2 linked regions of the Lytechinus pictus genome follow. The protein of the gene in region 2 interacts with the protein of the main gene of each other region in a pairwise test. Links are inferred from orthologs where the notes say so. Each region holds a gene or a part of one and is shown on either strand. Other genes may lie near its edges.

Region 1 (9,565 bases), on a different chromosome or scaffold from region 2:
AATTAATACATTAATCTGACTATTTCCTCGCAATAAAAATATTTAACATTCTAATGACAGTACATACCACATCACCATTATCATTATTGCAAGTAGGAATATGTCATGATATTACTTGCGCACATCATCATACATGCAATCTTTCAAGAGACGCCTATCAGCCTATATTCAAGAATATTTCTTCAACAAATTTGTTTTACAAAGAGTTCTTTAATCAGTACACAATAGCGGTCAAAGTCCTCCCCGATAACATGGATAATGTAAGAGAGGTCTATATATAAAGTTCTGCTTACATATAATATCACCACTCCCAACGCCTCTGCATAATATCCATATATTTTATAGCATGCATACCATTATTAATCTCGATCATTCACGAATTCGATGGCAATGAGTGTAAAGACTAAAGTTTAACATAAAGCTTATTGGTGGTTACCTATAAAAACAAATAAAAAAACAAAAAACAAATAAAATCGCAATCTCTTACCATGTTCACGTTTCATATAACTATAAAAATATATTATTGACTTTGGTTATCATGATCTACACTTATATAGTGGATGATTATGCATTAACAGATATGAATTTTGTTGTACTTTTAAAAATAAATATATCACGCTGGGTGCTTATTGAACATGCTAAAGCAAATAAAATTCTTATCTTATGTTTTTCTGAAAGAATGAAATAGGGCAAAGAAGTAGAAATAGTTTAAGTTTTCAAAAGCTTATGATATTCCTGCGAAAAATTATTTTGATGTAATACCAATTTTTCTATATGTAACTTTGAAGTATATTGAGAATATACATAAATGCTCTAAATTTTATTGCAGGTTCATGCACGGCTCTATAAACACTCTCTTTTTTAAAACTTTTTATACATATTGTATTAGAGGGGAGCATATAACAATTAAGTTTGTTTTCAAAACGTATCTTGACATATCCATTATGATATAAGAATATAATCTATAGGCCCTAATAATCTTAATAGTATTCTTAGGTAAGTTTGTGATAGCTACAGGTTCTCTTCAAAATATTCACCATCCCTTTTTTTTCCGTTTCATGGTTATTTCAACTATTTCTTTCTTTGTTTCTAATATACGTTTAGATCTAACTGTGATTCAGTATTAATATACCCCTATAAATCACCGCGTATATTTTTAACTAATTCATGACTCGTTTCTCTATTTTTTTCTTCAGTTGAAAATGAGCCTGACAATTTTTTATTAAGAAGTTTAAATTTTACAAGTAATGCTATGTTCTGATGTGGGCTTATTATACATGTATATGAATAAATCGACTCACTTGAATAAATGAAATAAAACAATAAAATAGGTGACACTCACTTTCCACCAGTGATTGTATGCACACATGAGAACTACTTATGTCGTATAACTTTTGAAAAAAAGATTCAACAAAACAAAATGATTGTCCAACCAAAACATTCTCAAAGTCAAACACAATTCTCATAGACGCTATATTTGCATTAAATTCACATGATTTTTTCAATTTGATCATTTTATGGTTTCGGTTAGACATATTTTCACCCGCACGTCCACTGATGGTATATGAAATCGCCACTGTAGTTAAATATTCGCCAAAACGATAACTATAAAAAAAAATTCGGAGAATCCAATATCTTGTTTAGAAACGATTCGATTTTTAACTAATTTGTCCTTTATCTTTTTTTATTGTTGGTGCTCCTAAAAGTATACAGACTATACAGTTTGTATCGATTCTCTGAAATGTTTCCTATAATTTGCTTTGACAAGGCCACTACGAGTGCTTTGCCCCCCGGGGGGGGGGGGGCACTCAGTATATAATGCATAGTGGGTATGTGCCGCGGAGGGGACCCCCATTTTTACACTCAAATTTCCATTCCAAGGCATAGCATTTTTGTCTTATTGAGAAAAAGAACAAAGAAAGCCGCTCCAAAGCATAGCATTTTCTTCTTATCGAGGAAAAAGAAGAAAGAAATCCGCTCCAAAGCTTCACTTATTTTTCGTTACGCCGTTCCGGTCGCATTGATCTGCTACAAGGAGCTGCAATTTGGATGAAAAGCGGCGGCAGAGCGCTGTCCGACCATCGCCTCTGCGCGAGCGCACCCGGCGGAGGCCGCGCTAGCTGCATCATGCACGCATGCCCGTTCCAGCACACGCTGGCGATCCGTTCCAAGGACCCCCGTTCTCACAAACATTTGTAGTTCCGAAGCCCGTTCCGAGGACCCTCCTTTTTACAATAAGCCCGCTCCAAGGCCCCCGTTTTTTGTCTCGCCCGCGGCACACCCCTACCACTTTTTTGGTTGAGTGCCCCCCCCTCCCCCCGGGGCTTTGCCAGATTGGGTTCGTACTTAAATAAATCGCGTCAAAACAACTCATTCATAAGTATAGAATATCAGATATTGAGCCCGTGCAATTTGTTGATGTGGACTGCATCGATTAAAGTACAAACAAAGGAACATGTGTAGAATTCAATTCTCTAAAGCTAGAAGGCAATGTTTGCTGCTTAAAGGGAAAACCTGTGCATTCCCGGCAAAGAAGCATAAAACAGATCATGCAACAGTATAGCACGCTCGCAGGATTCAGCACTTTTCAGACCGGATGGGAGCAAGGGGTGACCACCTAACAATAATTTTTTAAGAACTGGAAAGAGACATAGGATTTTTACAAAGAGGAAGAGAAAGGAAGAAAGAAATAACACTATAAATAAAACCTGTATTATTTAAAACCCCCCACATTTATAGGTCGTTCTCCCCCTATCAAATTTCTATAATAGGCCCATAATTAATTTATCGTGGACTTTCAAAATACTAAATATGATTCAAGGCCAAGTACACGTCATCAGATATTTAAATACAGAATAAAAACTAAACTAGCGTAACATAGGTATTTCATCTAAATCGCATGTAAAGTCAGACAAGACATATCAAGCTTTTTTGTTTTTTAATAAATGAGTCGATGACGTCACACATTATTACTTTTATATTCTATTCAATGGAAGTATCACATGATTTAATGATAAATGAAGGTGTTCTTCAATGAATCACATTGCGTTACAAAAATGATAATTTAGATGTTCGCGGAGCAGTTATATATAACAACATGATTTGTTTTTAATCAGAATCGGGTGTAAAAATTCAGTCAAGCTATGGGATTGACATGTACATAACATATGCACAATTTCTTTAATCTATCAGCCACCCCGGTCAGCCACTCACATTGAAGGATTTCAGTAGTTTTTGTTATTACAAGTTTTATGTAATTTTATGTAATGTGTTACTGATCTAGAACTCCACCATTAGTAATGGTAAAGAGAAAATTTAGGCAAATGATAAGGGTGGCTTGCTCTCCCTCCAGTATTAAACCACTGACCCTTATTTTTCAAAATACGCCAAAAACCCATGCCCCAATTGCCCCCATATATACATACGCATATATTACAAAAACCTACCCTCTGCTAACAATCAACCTAAGTGCATCTATGTGACCATTAGTCGCAGCCCATAATGTTGGGGTCCTCCCGGACTCATCTGTCCGGTTGCAGTCCCGTTTAGTGGCCTCGCGGAGTGGGTCCAGGTGCCCCTCTTTTGCGGCTTCGTGAAACTTCGTCGTCATGGTCTAGAACAATAGTTAATACTTGAAGAGGTTCTCAATTCCTGTTAGATGTGTCCTTGTTCCCGATTCACTTTTCATATGTCAGAAGCAGGACATGGAAGAGTCTAGATTGAGTTTTAAATGAACAAGTCCATTGATAATAACATGTTATTGAGCTCGGTATCGGTAATGATTGTTTAGTAATATATGACTACTGGAGAACGTCAAGTATACTAGAGAATGCCGCATACAATGACGGCAAAAGAATATAACTTGTATCACAAAACAACGGGACTTCGTCTACCAGCCTAATGATTATCGTCCCAGCTCGTATCTATACGCACACTTTACCCAGATTAAATATGAATTTTGCTGAAGTGTGGCCGATCGATGAATCTGAAGTGTACGACAACTGTGGGCGTTGCTCAGGTAGACTTCGCCCCCATCTCAAGTTGAATTAACACTCTTCTATCTTCCGCGCAAGTATATTCCAAAACAGAATATAAATTGACATATATATATATACATCATCTAGAGTTAATCAATTCAAACAGCACTTTGACATGAGAATAGTTCTAGGTTATTTAAAGGGGAAGTTCACCATGACAAAAAGTATATTGTAAAAATAGCAGAAATAATAATAGAACAAAATATTGCCGAAGGTTTGAGAAGAATACATCATGGAATTAAAAAAAATGATTATGCGAGCAGATTTCCAACATATCGTATGGTAAAAAATCAATGAAATGTCAATTAAAAAGAAAAAAATTGAAAATGGGTTTTTACTGTACCTTATAACAATAGTCAAATCATTTCATACCCGGCAGTTTCTAAGACGAAAACAAAAATGAGTCATCACGAACCATTAAAAAATCATCATGCATTTTATATTACATAACATATGGGCAGCTGCTCGTTTATGACGTCACAAATCCAAAACTTAAAATTCTAATATCCTTCTTAATCTGTAATGTATCTTCCTCAAACCTTCTCCAATATTTTTTTCTGCTATTTTTACAACAAACTTTTCATCAGGATAAACTTCCCCTTTAATTGTTGGAAGAATTAATGATTTTGATTTACCGGGATATAGGCGTCTTACAAAGAGTTACAAAGAGTTACGATTGATCCAACTAATCGTCACTCTATGGAAATCCCTCAGTGTCATAATTTTTTCTACAGGAAATGTGCACAATGTCCTTTGTGAACACAGAGAAGCACACTACACTGAATTTTCAAGACAACGATGAATGCATGAATATAAATCATAGCTAGAAGATATTTTGAACAAATATTCATAATAGATGTTGACGTTGCTGGCCGTCCATAGTTGCGATCGATCAGATCAATCGCAACTCTTTGTTAGACGGGGCTCTGGGATTATTTCCCTGTTTGGCATGAAACACCCCCCCCCCCCATTCCGGATTGCAATGGCGTACATGGGGCTAGCAACAAAAGAGAGAGGGGGTAGAGAGGGGGGCAGATGAGATAAGGGGAAGTGTGGGTAGATAAAAGAAGGGGCAAACAAGAAAAATAAAATGTTATATTTTCATGGACGCGATCACTCGTATTTTGGAAATTAATGGAATTTTATTTTTTTGGGCTTATTCTTATGAAATGATTTATACTTAATTTTCCATTTGAAGTGATTTGTAACATAATCACAACTTAATTTCAAGCCAAGAATGAATAATGGTCTAAAATTGAAACTGAATAACCCTATGATCGTACGATGGATCAGTCTACGATTTGTAGGCGGCATTAGGGTTGGCTATGTGCTACGATTGTTTGTGTATATCGTACAATTTCATGTGATGGGCATCGATCGTAGAATGCCAAAGACAAAGCCATGCAGAGGCCGTACGGAGATCGCAATACCACTGTGTTGATCGTAGGAGGATGTCTTTACAATATATACCATGCACTTGCGCCGATCTTACGATGCCCATTCATTGTACGATACCCTTGGAATGACCATACGATGCTCCTACGATGTTTTAGGGCTACGATAATACCATTAACAAAATAACTTCCCCTACGAAGATCTGAATCCGTACAATCACGTAAATATGTACTAACAAAATTATGTGATACTAATAATAAATTCATCGAATTATCGCCAAAATAGTTCGACGTTATATGGGCTTGACGAAGTCCGACTTATACGGAACCTTATAAGTGCCAACCTACGGAAGCTTAAAGGTGCCTCCAGAAGACGAGATGAGAAGATGAGATGACCCATGCCGGCATGTCGACTTGTTTTGGACAAGAAGACAAGATGGCAAGTTAATGAAAGTCGGCATTCCGGCTTGTTTCAGACAAAAATACAAGATGACGAGTTGTTGAAACGCGGCATGCCAGCTTGTTTGTGACAAGAAGACGGGATGACGAGTTGTTGAATCTCAGCATGCCAGCTTGTTTGTGACAAGAATAGATGGCGAGTTGATGAAAGTCGGCATTCCGGCTTGTTTGTGACAAGAAGACAGGATGACGAGTTGTTGAATCTCAGCATGCCGGCTTGTTTGTGACAAGGGGACAAGATGACGAGTTGTTGGAACTCGGCATGCTGACTTGTTTGTGACAAGAAGACAAGATGACGAGTTGTTGAAACGCGGCATGTCTGCTTGATTTGTGACAAGAAGACAAGATGACGAGTTGTTGAATCTCATCATGCCGGCTTGTTTGTGACAAGAATACAAGGTGGCGAGTTGATGAAAGTCGGCATGCCGGCTTGTTTGTGACAAGAGGACAAGATGACGAGTTGTTGGAACGCGGCATGCCGGCTTGTTTGTGACAAGAGGACAAGATGACGAGTTGTTGGAACTCGGCATGCCAGCTTGTTTGTGACAAGAATACAAGATGGCGAGTTGTTGGAACTCAGCATGCTGACTTGTTTTTGATAAGAAGACGGGATGACGAAATATTGGAACTCGGCATGCTGGCTTGTTTGAGACAAGAAGACAAGATGACGAGTTGTTGAAACGCGGCATGCCAGCTTGTTTGTGACAAGAGGACAAGATGACGAGTTGTTGGAACTCGGCATGCCAGCATGTTTGTGACAAGAATACAAGATGGCGAGTTGTTGGAACTCAGCATGCTGACTTGTTTGTGACAAGAGGACAAGATGACGAGTTGATGAAAGTCGGCATGCCGGCTTGTTTGTGACAAGAAGACAAGATGACGAGTTTTTGGAACGCGGCGTGCCGGCTTGTTTGTGACAAGATGACGAGTTGTTGGAACTCGGCATGCTGGCTTGTTTGTACGGAAGCTTAAAAGTGCCCCCAGAAGACGAGATGACGAGTTGTTGAAACTCGGCATGCCGGCTTGTTTGTGACAAGAAGACGGGATGACGAAATGTCGGAAATCGGCATGACGGCTTGTTTGTGACAAGAAGACATGATGGCGAGTTGATGAAACTCGGCTTGCCGGCTTGTTTGTGACAAGAAGACAGGATAACGAAATGTTGGGACTCGGCATGCCGGCTTGTTTAGGTAAGAAGACAAGATTATTAAAGCGGGTGTACATTGTTCTATATAAACAACTCTTCACTTATGTCAGTTATTTATGCATAACAATGATTCATGCTTCATCGATGTAAATGATAACGAATCATTTTCCTTTTTTCTTTAAATAACAACAATGTATATTTCTTTATTACTAGATAAGTACACTTCACTTTTCAATTATTTATAAATATTGCCAATTTGTACTTTGATTTATTGATAATTACAATTCACTATTAGATTATATTTGATATAATACTTATTTAAGAGCCAAAAAATTTCCCGGTCATAATCATGGAACAGGTAATGGCGTCATGAGGCAAAAATTTTGAGGGGGCGATATGATGTATCGGGGGAAAAAAATGCGAGCGAGCGAAGCGAGCGAGCAAAAATGTTGACATTTTTATTACAAAAATCAAATTTTGTGATACATTTTGACATTATGTTAAAAAGATTATATAATATTTCACCCTTCTCTCTTTTTTTGTACGCCACGGTGAACAGGATTTTTGTTATGATTGTGCGCATCAGGGCGAAGCTCTATGTGCTCAAGGGGGCCCAGTATGGCTCGTGTGGCAAGAAGTAGCTTAATATAAGTCCCTAGCGAGCAAAGCGAGCAAGATAAAAAATCACCTTTTCATGAGAATCTAACATGAAGACAGATTTTGACGTGATATTCAGAAAAATATAGTACACTTTTCGTTTGCTTTTCTTTCTTTCCTCTTTTCTTATTTGTTTGGTTGGAGAACTTTTGGGGGCCATGGTCCAAACTCATCTATACAACAGTGCTGTGTGGGTGGGATCCGGGGCGGAGCCCCGGAACTTCTTGATATTAAAGCCATTTTAAACCTTACAGATGGCCACTAATTTTAATCAAATATAGCTTTTACACAACACATAAATTCAATGCAGTTGTGTACCGCAATCATCCAAATATTTTGATGGGGCACACCTTAGCAAATGTGGGAAAATTTGTAAAATGTCGCCAGCGAGCAAAGCGGGCCAGAAAGAAAATGGCCTTTTGAAATGAAATTATAATTATGTGATAGATTTTTACATCATAGCAAATATGTCAATTATAATTTTTTTTCATTCATCTCAATTGGCTGCCTCCTTTATTTTTTTTAATTTCCTCTTGGCTGTGGAACCACCCCCCCCCCGGTACGCCACTGCTTCAACGTAAAGCTTAATGCAGGAAGGGTCCATACAGGGGCCCGTTATAGAGCCCTTTAAATGTTACAGATGAAGAGCCCCCACTGCACGGGGTCTTGGACAGAGCCCCCGGTAGCTTTGGAGATTTAGCAAGTTTATGATCGACTTTCATACAACAAAAATACCATCCATCTTTCTGCCCGCTCGTTATCTTCGATCCTCGGCAGCCCGGTAGTGTTATCTTGTCCCTTTCTTTATTTTCCAATAAGATTTTGTCTCATTCCATTCGACCTTCATTTCCCGATTTTGTTTGCCTTTTTGTCATCTTTAATTTATTTCCGTCTTACTAATCATGCTAATGTATTTGTATATCGGGGAGAATTGTTCTTTCTCACATTTTCTTCTTTCCTTCCTTTTCCCGTTTTACCTTTTTATTTTTTTTTATTAGTTTTCTATTCCCTTTCCTTTTCCCCCTTTTTTCTCTTCTCTTTTTTTCATTTCCTTTCCCTTTCCATTTCTTTCTTTCTCCCCCTTTTTTCCTTTTCCCGGTTTTTTATTTTTCCGGTGAACTACGCCAGGGGGGCAGCTTGCACCCCCCCCCCCCACTGGACAAAAATACATGAAATTTTCACTTAGCTCGCAATATTTAATTGTTTGAATATTTATCGCCTTCAAGGGTAACTGCAAACAGTCCTTATAACAGGTCCCTTTTCGATCTGGCCAGAACATACATTAACAATTTTTGATCGCGCTCGCAGTTACATAAGCATCTTGTTCAGGATGATTAACATTGCACAAAATGTTCAATTTCAAGGACAAAATACATGAAATATAAAAAAAAAATTAGCTCGCGCTTCTCGGTCGCACTATTTGATTATATTTATATGTTCTTTTACAACAATAAAGCTAAGAAGGGTGTGAAGGTGTGTTTGTGGGGGGAGGGGTGCCCTTGCATGTGTAAATGGAAAACTCAATTGTGCCTCCTCAACCCTTGAGATTTCAGCCCATTTCAGCACCCCCACTGAAAAAAAATCGTTCTCAGGGCAATGGTAACAGTATAATATTCCCGCACTCCCTAGGGTTGCTCGGGAATATTAAGATACAAGATGGTTATGAAATCTGACAACTCCCATATTGAAAGCGGTCAACTAGCGATGCCTAAGTTTGCGTGTAACAAATAATATTTAATAAATTAGTCGAGAGGAACGCGAGATAATGTCCAATGTAACCAAATATTCAAGTTTCTGATTAGATGCTACATGTTTAGTGGCATTTATATTATAAGGAAAACTGTTACTCTGGTAACAATATAAACATTGTC
Region 2 (9,365 bases):
AACAAATAATCATTATTTATAAATAATGGAATGTCGAACTATTATTATTTACAAATAATGAAGTATTACTTGGAATTATATATAAATAATTAGAAATGATATTTTATATAATAGTAGTTATTTACAAATAAAATGTAAATTATATATAAATAATAGTTATTATTTAATAAATAATGATTATATAACAAATAATTGTTCTATATAATATTGGTACATTCGGCGCCTCATAGAATCCCCGTTAAATTACGAGAACTTTTTTAAGCTGAAAAATACCCATTAATTATTCCTGCATTCACACCGCCCTGAAACATACCCTTCGGGATAAGTTCCTGAAGTTACGAGCATGCGCAGTATGGTCTGATAAGCAGCAAGGCGCGAAATTCAAAATCACTAGCCCAGCAGCAACCCATGCACGGCGCCGCACCTAACGACACGCTGGGCTAAAAGTTCCCGTAATTTGCTTTCAGACCGCCAAAATACCCACGACCTTGGAAAAATCCCCGCGAAAGTTCTCGTAATTTCGCCAAGTACCTACTATTTATCGGGTATTTTCTTTCGGGGATATTACGCGTAGTTTGCTTTCACACCGCCAAAATACCTGGTATTTTCTGATCGGGGTAAATTTCCCGATCAGAGAATACCTGGAACTGGCGAACTTCGAGGCGGTCTGAAACCACCTAGAGTAAGATAGTGTAACGTATAAGATAATATAAAGATAAGATAAGACAAGACAAGATAAGTTAGGTTAGATAAGATAGATAAGATAAGATCAGATAAGACAAGGCAAGAAAAGTTAGATGATATAAGAAGAAAAAAATATGCGACAAAATAAGATAAGATAAGGTTGAATAAGATAAAATCAGACTAGATAAGGCGATCAAAGTGTCGACTGAGCAAAAATGTTGTTAAAGGCTCACAAGCAGTCAAAACTTATTTCGTTTTTGTTCCAAATCATATTACTTTGTTAAGGCATGGTTAACGAAGCTGAATTTTGTACATTCTGAAAACGAGTCATAAATGCTCAATGGAATTAATGAGATGTCATTTCATATATTCCGTATTGTTCTCTTAATAAGCATGTCCTTTCTCCACAATGACCTCCACAAACGGCTCACTTTAGATGAATGTTCCCTTTTAGATGACGACGTTAAACAGATTTTAGAAAAGCAATTACGAGAGAGAACAGACGCACTTCAAACTTTGCACATTGAACTTTTATATCTGAAATACATTATCCCATAATAATTATTGTGTTTTTAGCACGACTGCTTTTCGGCTTGAAGCTATCATCGACGATATAAACTGCCTGAATCCTAATAGATTCATCTTTCACCAACCTTACTTTAAATTCCTTTTCTCGACAGTTGGTGATCATCTTAGATTTAGCATGACATTTGTGACGATATCGTGATATTTATTTATTTGTTTTGTTTTATATAGAACTATGGTAATATGAACGACATAGACCCTATATTCTCCCCATATGGCGAGAAAACGATAACTCCTTTTACCGACGAACCTGTTTGAGAGGCCCGTTTCATAAAACTTAATTCATAACAATTATTTGCAGTAATATTTTTAGCTACTCAAATCATTCAATGTGATTGGCAAACTTGTTAGCCTATAGCAATTTTGCATTTGTTATGATAATAAGTCTTAATCAAATGGGCCCCAGACCCCCGATCAAAGTATACCTCTTTTCCAAATTAAATTCGAAATAGTCGCTTTCAAAGATTCAAAAAAAGGGAAATTAATTTTTTGATCTTAAAACATTTTTTATTGATTTATTGATTTGTTTTGTAGGGGGGGGGGGGGGTAGTCAACTGTTTGTGAAGTCGTGAGATTGAGGGACCAGTAAGGAGAAAAAGGGGGTGAACCAAGGCAGCGAGGGGTGCAAGAACATGGTCTTAGGCAACGGGGGCGGCGGGGGTAGCTGCCCCCAGAAGTTTTGAAAATCTACATTTTTTTACTTCAAACTTTCGCAAAATCCACCAAAACTGTGTACAAAATCCTTAATTTTTCACCTTTAAAAATGCAAAGCGCCCCAATAAATAGCTTGGTCGCTTCGTTCCTTCGCTTTCGAGTTTCTTCGAAAAATTGTACGCGTCCTGCCCCTCCCGGAACAATTTCAGTGGCCTTTAAAAATACTTACTGCTTGTATTTTTTTAGTTGTGAGTAAAGCTGGGCCTGGTCTTTCTCGTACTCAAGAGTAGCCCTCACCTGGGTGGATAGAGAGAGATGGATTGAAAACATAATTAAACCACTGACATAAAACAAATTTATGTTCAAACAAAGAAAAAGTATCACGATTCAATTAATTATAAAGTAGTAGTAGAAGTAGTAGTAGTAGCAGTAGTAGTAGTAGTAGTAGTAGTAGTAGTAGTACTAGTAGTACTAGTAGTAGTATAGTAGTAGTAGTAGTAGTAGTAGTAGTAGTAGTAGTAGTAGTAGTAGTAGTAGTAGTAGTAGTAATAGTAAAAAATGACATTATTTGAACAGATAAAGTAAAATCGGACAAACAAAGCACTGAAAATAATCAAAATCGTCTAAGGAATGACATTTTTAAAGTACTTTCAGGCCAACGTGCTCCGCTTATCATCAAATTTACATTACCTTCGCTTAGAAGTACAATGACAAACAATGCGAAAGTATATTTGTATTTAGGATAATACTAATCGAATTAATAACAAATTAGTGATGACTCATCACTAATTTGTTATTAATTCGATTAGTATTATCCTAAATACTGATGAGCTGTCTAAACTTAAAGGAGAACTATATTGATTATGAATGTGGTCTTATTATATGTCAATGGAAAGGTAATGATGTGGGGATTATCAGTGGGTCATTCAAAAATAACGAAAATAATACATAAGGTGAAAATCGCCGATTAAAAAACGCTCAAAATGCCTCTCCGAAATATGCCTCGCATCGGTCTCTGAATTGACTTGAATTTGATGACGTCACTTTCTGTACGAGATGCGTGATTGGCTCTCCCACGTGAAGCTCCACTTGCATGCAAAACCTGTTGCGAGGGTACGGTTTCTCCACACTGTCACTGAATACTTCGATCACGAAATGAAAGAAAACCCAGAATTTTATCTAGATTTGGATTTTCAAATTGATGATTTTGAAGATGAAGAGAATGATGATGAAATGAACAACAAAGTGACGTAGTTGGAGGTAAATTGGGGGAATTACGCCGATGATGATGAGTCGGACAATTCAACTTGCAACATGATCACATGCCGATTCGCTACCTAACTCATGCAGCTGCTAAGTGCTAGCTACACCGCGCGGGCCAAATTGAATTCATGAAAATGAATTACCACACTGTCCAGACAGAGTCTCTTACCTCTGTGACTATGAAGAAGGAAAATAATGATAAAACTGTACTTACAAACAAGTGAATGTAATCCGAACCTGAAGGCAACTCAACGAATAGCAGCAGACGATATGCACCGACGATAAACTTCATGTGGCTGGGATAGATTGTCACTAGATGTAATTTTTATCTCATTAATTTGACAAAATTACGAAACTCGGGGAATTATTTATCTATATAAAAATATAGTAACATCTCGTATTATTTTTTAAATTACGATAAAACCTTTTAAAAGCTCGTATATGTGATCGTATTCAAAATCACAAACATGCCGTATTGCTTGCTCGCCGTGGCTGAGAGAGTAGATCTATGCACGTGTTGCACAGCTCTCAATCAAGCTACGCATGTTGGGGATCTTTTACATCTAATTTTAATTTACCTCAATGTTTTCCTTCAAAAAACGTTTTATCGTAATTTAAAAATTATACGAGATGTTACTATATTTTTATATAGATAAATAATTCCCCGAGTTTCGTAATTTTGTCAAATTAATGAGATAAAAATTACATCTAACAGAACGAGTGACAATCTATCCCAGCCACATGAATTTTATCATCGGTGCATATCGTCTGCTGCTATTCGTTGAGTTGATTTGCCTTCAGGTTCGGATTACATTCACTTATTTGTAAGTACAGTTTTAATCATTATTTTCCTTCTTCATAGTCACAGAAGTAAGAGACTCTGTCTGGACAGTGTGGCAAGTCATTTTCGTGAATTCAATTTGGCACGCGCGGTGTAGCTAGCACTTAGCAGCTGCATGAGTTGGTAGCGAATCGGCATGTGATCGTGTTGCAAGTTGAATTGTCCGACTCCTCATCATCGATTCCCCCAATTTACCCCCAACTACGTCACTTTGTTGTTCACTTCATCATCATTCTCTTCATCTTCAAAATCATCAATTTGAAAATCCAAATCTAGATAAAATTCTGGGTTTTCTTTCATTTCGTGATCGAAGTATTCAGTGACAATGTGGAGAAAACGTACCCTCGCAACAGGTTTTGCATGCAAGTGGAGCTTCACGTGGGAGAGCCAAACACGCCTCTCGTACAGAAAGTGACGTCATAAAAAATCCCCAATTTCGCGGACGTAATTCTGCGTGTTTGAAGCATTTAGAGAGAGAACTTTAAACTATCAATTAACTGAGTTCCATCGGTCTCTATGATAAATGATGTACACCATCGTGTTCTCCTTATTTTCTCCTTTGATTTGATATATGATTCTCCATTTTTACGATTTTCAATATATTTCTCCTTTAAAAGTCATGTCACGCTGTTCAGTTTACAGTCATTTTCAATTATATAATGTACAGCCGGGGGAAGGATTCCAGAATGGCGTTTTTTTTTACAAAGAACCCCCCCCCCCTGAAAATCATGCAAAAACACTGGACCCCACTGGCTTCAAGGAGAGGGGTATTAGAGTAATAACCCCTTATTTTTTTTATATTTTGCTTGTCAAAATAACATCGGACGGGAAGTTCGCATTATGGAGACCTATATTGAAATCTTTGAAGAAAAAATAGGCCTCTGTTTAGGCCCCTCCCTGTAAGAAAAAATGAATCCGCCAGTTTTGGTATACAATTTTGTTTTAGCAACAATGGTTAACCATTAAAAAAATGATAAATATGCCATAAATGGTACACTGTAAAAACTGAGGTGTTAAAACTGACACCAGTTGGTGTTAATAGAGGACCACACCCTGAGGTGTTAAAATTACACCCTAGGGATTGAACATAACACCAAAGGGTGTTGATGTGACAACCAAAGGTGTTGTAACACTGTCAATTTAACACCGGTGAAAAATAACTGGTATGGTCCTCTATGTACACCGGTTAACACGACAGTCTTTGTTGTGTATGTTAGACCAAGCCAGCTGTAGAAGTTGGAGCAGAAATAAGAATGTGCATGAATAAGACCAGACGGATATCATAAAGACTTTGTACAGCATGTTTTTTTTTATCATGGACGTTGTCTTTCCTGAATCCTTTTTCTTATATAATATCCAGTTCAATTCATTATTTCATTGCCATTCAAACACAATACAGGGTAATATAAATCAGATGCAAACTAACAATTGACATTTTAAAGAAAAGCAGTATAAAATAGAACTGATGGAAAGGAAATGGAAATGTTACAATTATATTCTTGACGTTATTTTTATCAAACAAACTTGCACGTTCCCTAGCTCTTATGTAATTTAATATTTATTTGATAACTGAGTGATCTTTTATGTTTATATGAATAACATTATATGAATAACACTATGGGCTATAAAAAAATCAATAAAAACACAGCAACCGTTGTCGCCATAATTGAGTCAAAATTCCACAAAAAATATTGATCGGAAAATGACGAGTTTTACCATTACAAGCCTACTTTGTTTCTCGTGTCTCAAATGCAAATGCCTCTAATGAAATATAATAAAAGTATATGGAAAGAGGCCTATATATCACTAAAACCTCATGATGAAAGCATCAATTTGAATTAAATCACACCTTACTTATTTCATTTTCTTTGTTTTATATTTTTCAGATACTTTTTGCTAATTAGAGCATGACGGCCCATAAAAGTGCATACCATGAAAAAAAAAATTGTACGAAATAAGAAAGCTAGTGTTTGAAAATATAACCAACCACCAGGGGCGGATCTAGAATTTTTGAAAAGGGGGGCTTTTTTATATAGAAAAAAAAAACCTGCCCCAAGAAGGTCTTCATTTCCTAATTATGGTGATTTATGTCACGAAAAATTTGACAAGCAAAACGCAGTCCTCACTTGACTTGCGCATGCACGTTTTGCACTAACAAATATATTTATGGTTCTCAAAAGGGGGCACGGGACATGCACTAATTATAAAATCATTCATTGTTGAATATAAATGAACATTTTCAATTTTCAATCGAAATTTTGTTTATGCGTCATGAGACGAGATTGCTAAAACAACGTACATGATTTGGTATCAAACTTCTACATAAATTTAGTATCAATCCAAAGCATGATTACTAAAATTATTTTTTCCAGTAAAAGAATGAATAATATGCTTATTTTTTAACAAACCGTATTTGAAGTTTCTTACCCTATTATTGAAGTCCTGAGTCACTGCGTGGTCCATTGTAAAATTATCTATATTCCGAATTGTTCTCTTTTGTGAATACAACAGCTTTACGTTTCCGAATGAATTGATCTGAATGAGAACAATGTCTCCCGTGTAAATACGGCTATTGATATCATACAACTCAAACGGTCGGTGATATATTGCATTTAACTGACGTGGAATGATATTTGTAGATTTCTGGCACAGGTGTCCCCCCTACCGGAGAGTTCAAAGTGCGAAGTCCTTTTTGTTGGGCGTACGAGGAGAATTATGATTCTGCACATGTCGCTCCTCTTATAACCATCAACATAGCTCTCTCGAAATAATGCGTGCGCTTTCATCTTTCTAAGGCTAATCTTTAGGGAACCCTGCCAGCTGTTTGATTTTGTCATGGAGACGTAATATTATAACTAATGTCAGGGGGGAAATAAATGATGATAATAGGTAAAGAGTCAAGTTATGATAGAATGATGAAAGGGAGGGACATCATTTTTGTCCTTAAAAGAGGGGGAGGGCAAGTGGATGGCAAATAAACTGTTGGGGAAAAGGGTGGATGTTCATGTTTCTTAATTCACTATTTCTTTAGACAATTTGGGGGAGTCAAATGCCCACAATGTCCCCCTCCCCCTACAAGGGGGGGGGGGCGTCAATAAATAAACTCTACAGTATATTTGTTTCACAGTGTGAACAAGTGTTTAAAATCTTAAGCAAGTCGGAGTTTAATTTTTAAAGGTCAAGTTCGCCTCCCAAAAAAATTTAATCTGAATCAAAAAAGAAAAATCAAACAAGCATAACGCTAAAAATTTCATCAAATTCGGATGTAAAATGAGAAAGTTATGGCATTTTATGCACAACCTTACTCAAGGATATGCAAATGAGAGACTGAGTCAATGATGTCCTTGAGTCCTTCCCGGTTTATTTCCAGATCGTCTAATGCCAATTCGTCCAATTGCCAAGTCGTTTACTATCAGTAATCCCACTTACAACATGGTTTACTTTCATTAAGTCTATAATGTCATGCCGCCTAATAACCAGTTGGTCCAATAGCCATTTAGTCTATATATCATTTGGTCTAATTGGACTAAGTGTTAAATTGTGCAAAATGAATGAAAATGAAATGGATATTAGACCGACTGCATGGTTATGAGACGAAATGGTGATTAGACGAAGTGATGATTAGACCAAATGGTTGTTAGACGACGTGTTGATGAACGGAATGCCATTAGACTAAATGAAAGTTGACCATGTGGTGAATGGACGAGTTGACAGTAATAACGAATTGGCAATTTACCATCCCTCACCCCCACTCATTATTTCTTTTGTTTTGTATTGTTTGAATTATACAATATTTCTATTTTGGCAGATTTGACAATAAGGACCTACTTGACTTAAGACAATGACAATTCATCATGTTCAGAGAGGAATAACAATTTGTAATACTGGACAAGGAGGAGAAACTTAGAATATTTCACATTTCATATAGGCCTATAGTAAAAATGACGTCAACTCATGAAATTAGATTGGCAATGTGAATGTGTGCACCGATAATCAGTTGCCTGGCCAGAATACTCCCTAGGCAGTGGAGATGGTGCATTTTATATGTGGGACAGTGTTGGATCCTATGACCGGGTTTATAATAATTACAATGTAAAGCGCTTAGAAACCAACGTATGAAGCGCTATTAAGTAAGTAGGCCTATTATTCACGATTAATCTTTAAAAAAAAGTTACACAACTGCTGCAAAGTTCTTGTAGCAAACAGCCTTTTACAGAAAGGAATTCAAAGGTCTAGAAAATATGGGATATTTAGCATGTTTAGGGTAAATGTGTAATCTGACCCGAAATCTATCCCTATCTAAGTGAAGTAGGCAAGGAGGGACGCTCGTATATTTTGCTGGGGAAGGGATGGGGCAGTTGCGATTTGGCCATTCTCATCATAATGATGGCGCTGTTCTTCTCATGAAAATAATAACGATCAAGCTTTTGAGTTTATAAATCATCACAAATTTCCCTTAAAGGGATAGTCCAGGCTGGAAATATTTATATCTCAATAAATTGAGTAAAATTCACAAAGCAAATTCTAAAAATTTGATCAAAATTAACAAATACCGAAGTTATTGAATTTTAAAGATTTGCATTATTCCGGTGAAACAGTTCTAGGCATGTCTTCATGAATATTCATTAGGTGGATTGATGTTGTCATATCCCCACTTGTTCTTTTGTATTTTATTATATGAAATTAGGTTTATTCAAAACTTTTCTACCAAGAACTGAAACAATAGGATTGACAACTGATCTATAGTGCATTAGTTATTTATTGCCGCAACTTATTTCATCATAATGGAGACACATCATTTACACATGCATGAAAAAAATGAAACAATTCTGATTTCATGTAATAACATAAGAAAAAAGGAAAGTGGGGATATGTCATCATCAGCCCACCTAATGAATATTCAGGACGATGTGCTCATAACTGTTTTCACAAAATATTGATAAATTGAAAAATCCAATAAATTCGTTATTTGTTATCCGATTTTGATGAAAATTTTCAGCATTTTGCTTTTTGAATTTTTACTATATTTATATAAATATTTTCAGCCCGGACCATCCCTTTAAACCAAATTAATTATCTTTCTTTTATAAAATATTATACTTTCTGATCGAGATTTCAATCGTTCATGAATTCTGATTTCTTTTTTGTCTTGATTATCTAATTCATTTCTTTTTTGTCTTGATAATCTAATTCATTATTCAGTTGGGGCAATGTCGCTGAATTTCGGATGATTTAAAAAAGATTATGCTCTAATTCCTCTTATCTGGTTTTCACCTTTTGTCTCAGTCTTAATTACTTAGAAAAAAAAAAACATCGGGGCGGTCGTGGCCACCTTAGT

Evidence for each region.
Region 1: the proteins of harmonin-like (region 2) and pre-mRNA splicing regulator USH1G-like interact in binary tests that used the Homo sapiens proteins (3 or more experiments, as listed by UniProt). The link is inferred for Lytechinus pictus from reciprocal best matches to the Homo sapiens genes USH1C and USH1G.

Annotation. Positions count from the first base shown.
Region 1 is NC_087254.1:24,471,698-24,481,262, reverse strand, and holds the start of pre-mRNA splicing regulator USH1G-like, read right to left. Parts: upstream 4,092-9,565; 5' UTR 3,611-4,091; coding exon 3,447-3,610; intron 1-3,446. UniProt on the Homo sapiens protein: Plays a role in pre-mRNA splicing by regulating the release and transfer of U4/U6.U5 tri-small nuclear ribonucleoprotein (tri-snRNP) complexes from their assembly site in Cajal bodies to nuclear speckles, thereby contributing to the assembly of the pre-catalytic spliceosome on target pre-mRNAs.
Region 2 is NC_087253.1:25,235,681-25,245,045, reverse strand, and holds the start of harmonin-like, read right to left. Parts: upstream 3,721-9,365; 5' UTR 3,479-3,720; coding exon 3,401-3,478; intron 2,221-3,400; coding exon 2,153-2,220; intron 1-2,152. UniProt on the Homo sapiens protein: Anchoring/scaffolding protein that is a part of the functional network formed by USH1C, USH1G, CDH23 and MYO7A that mediates mechanotransduction in cochlear hair cells. Required for normal development and maintenance of cochlear hair cell bundles.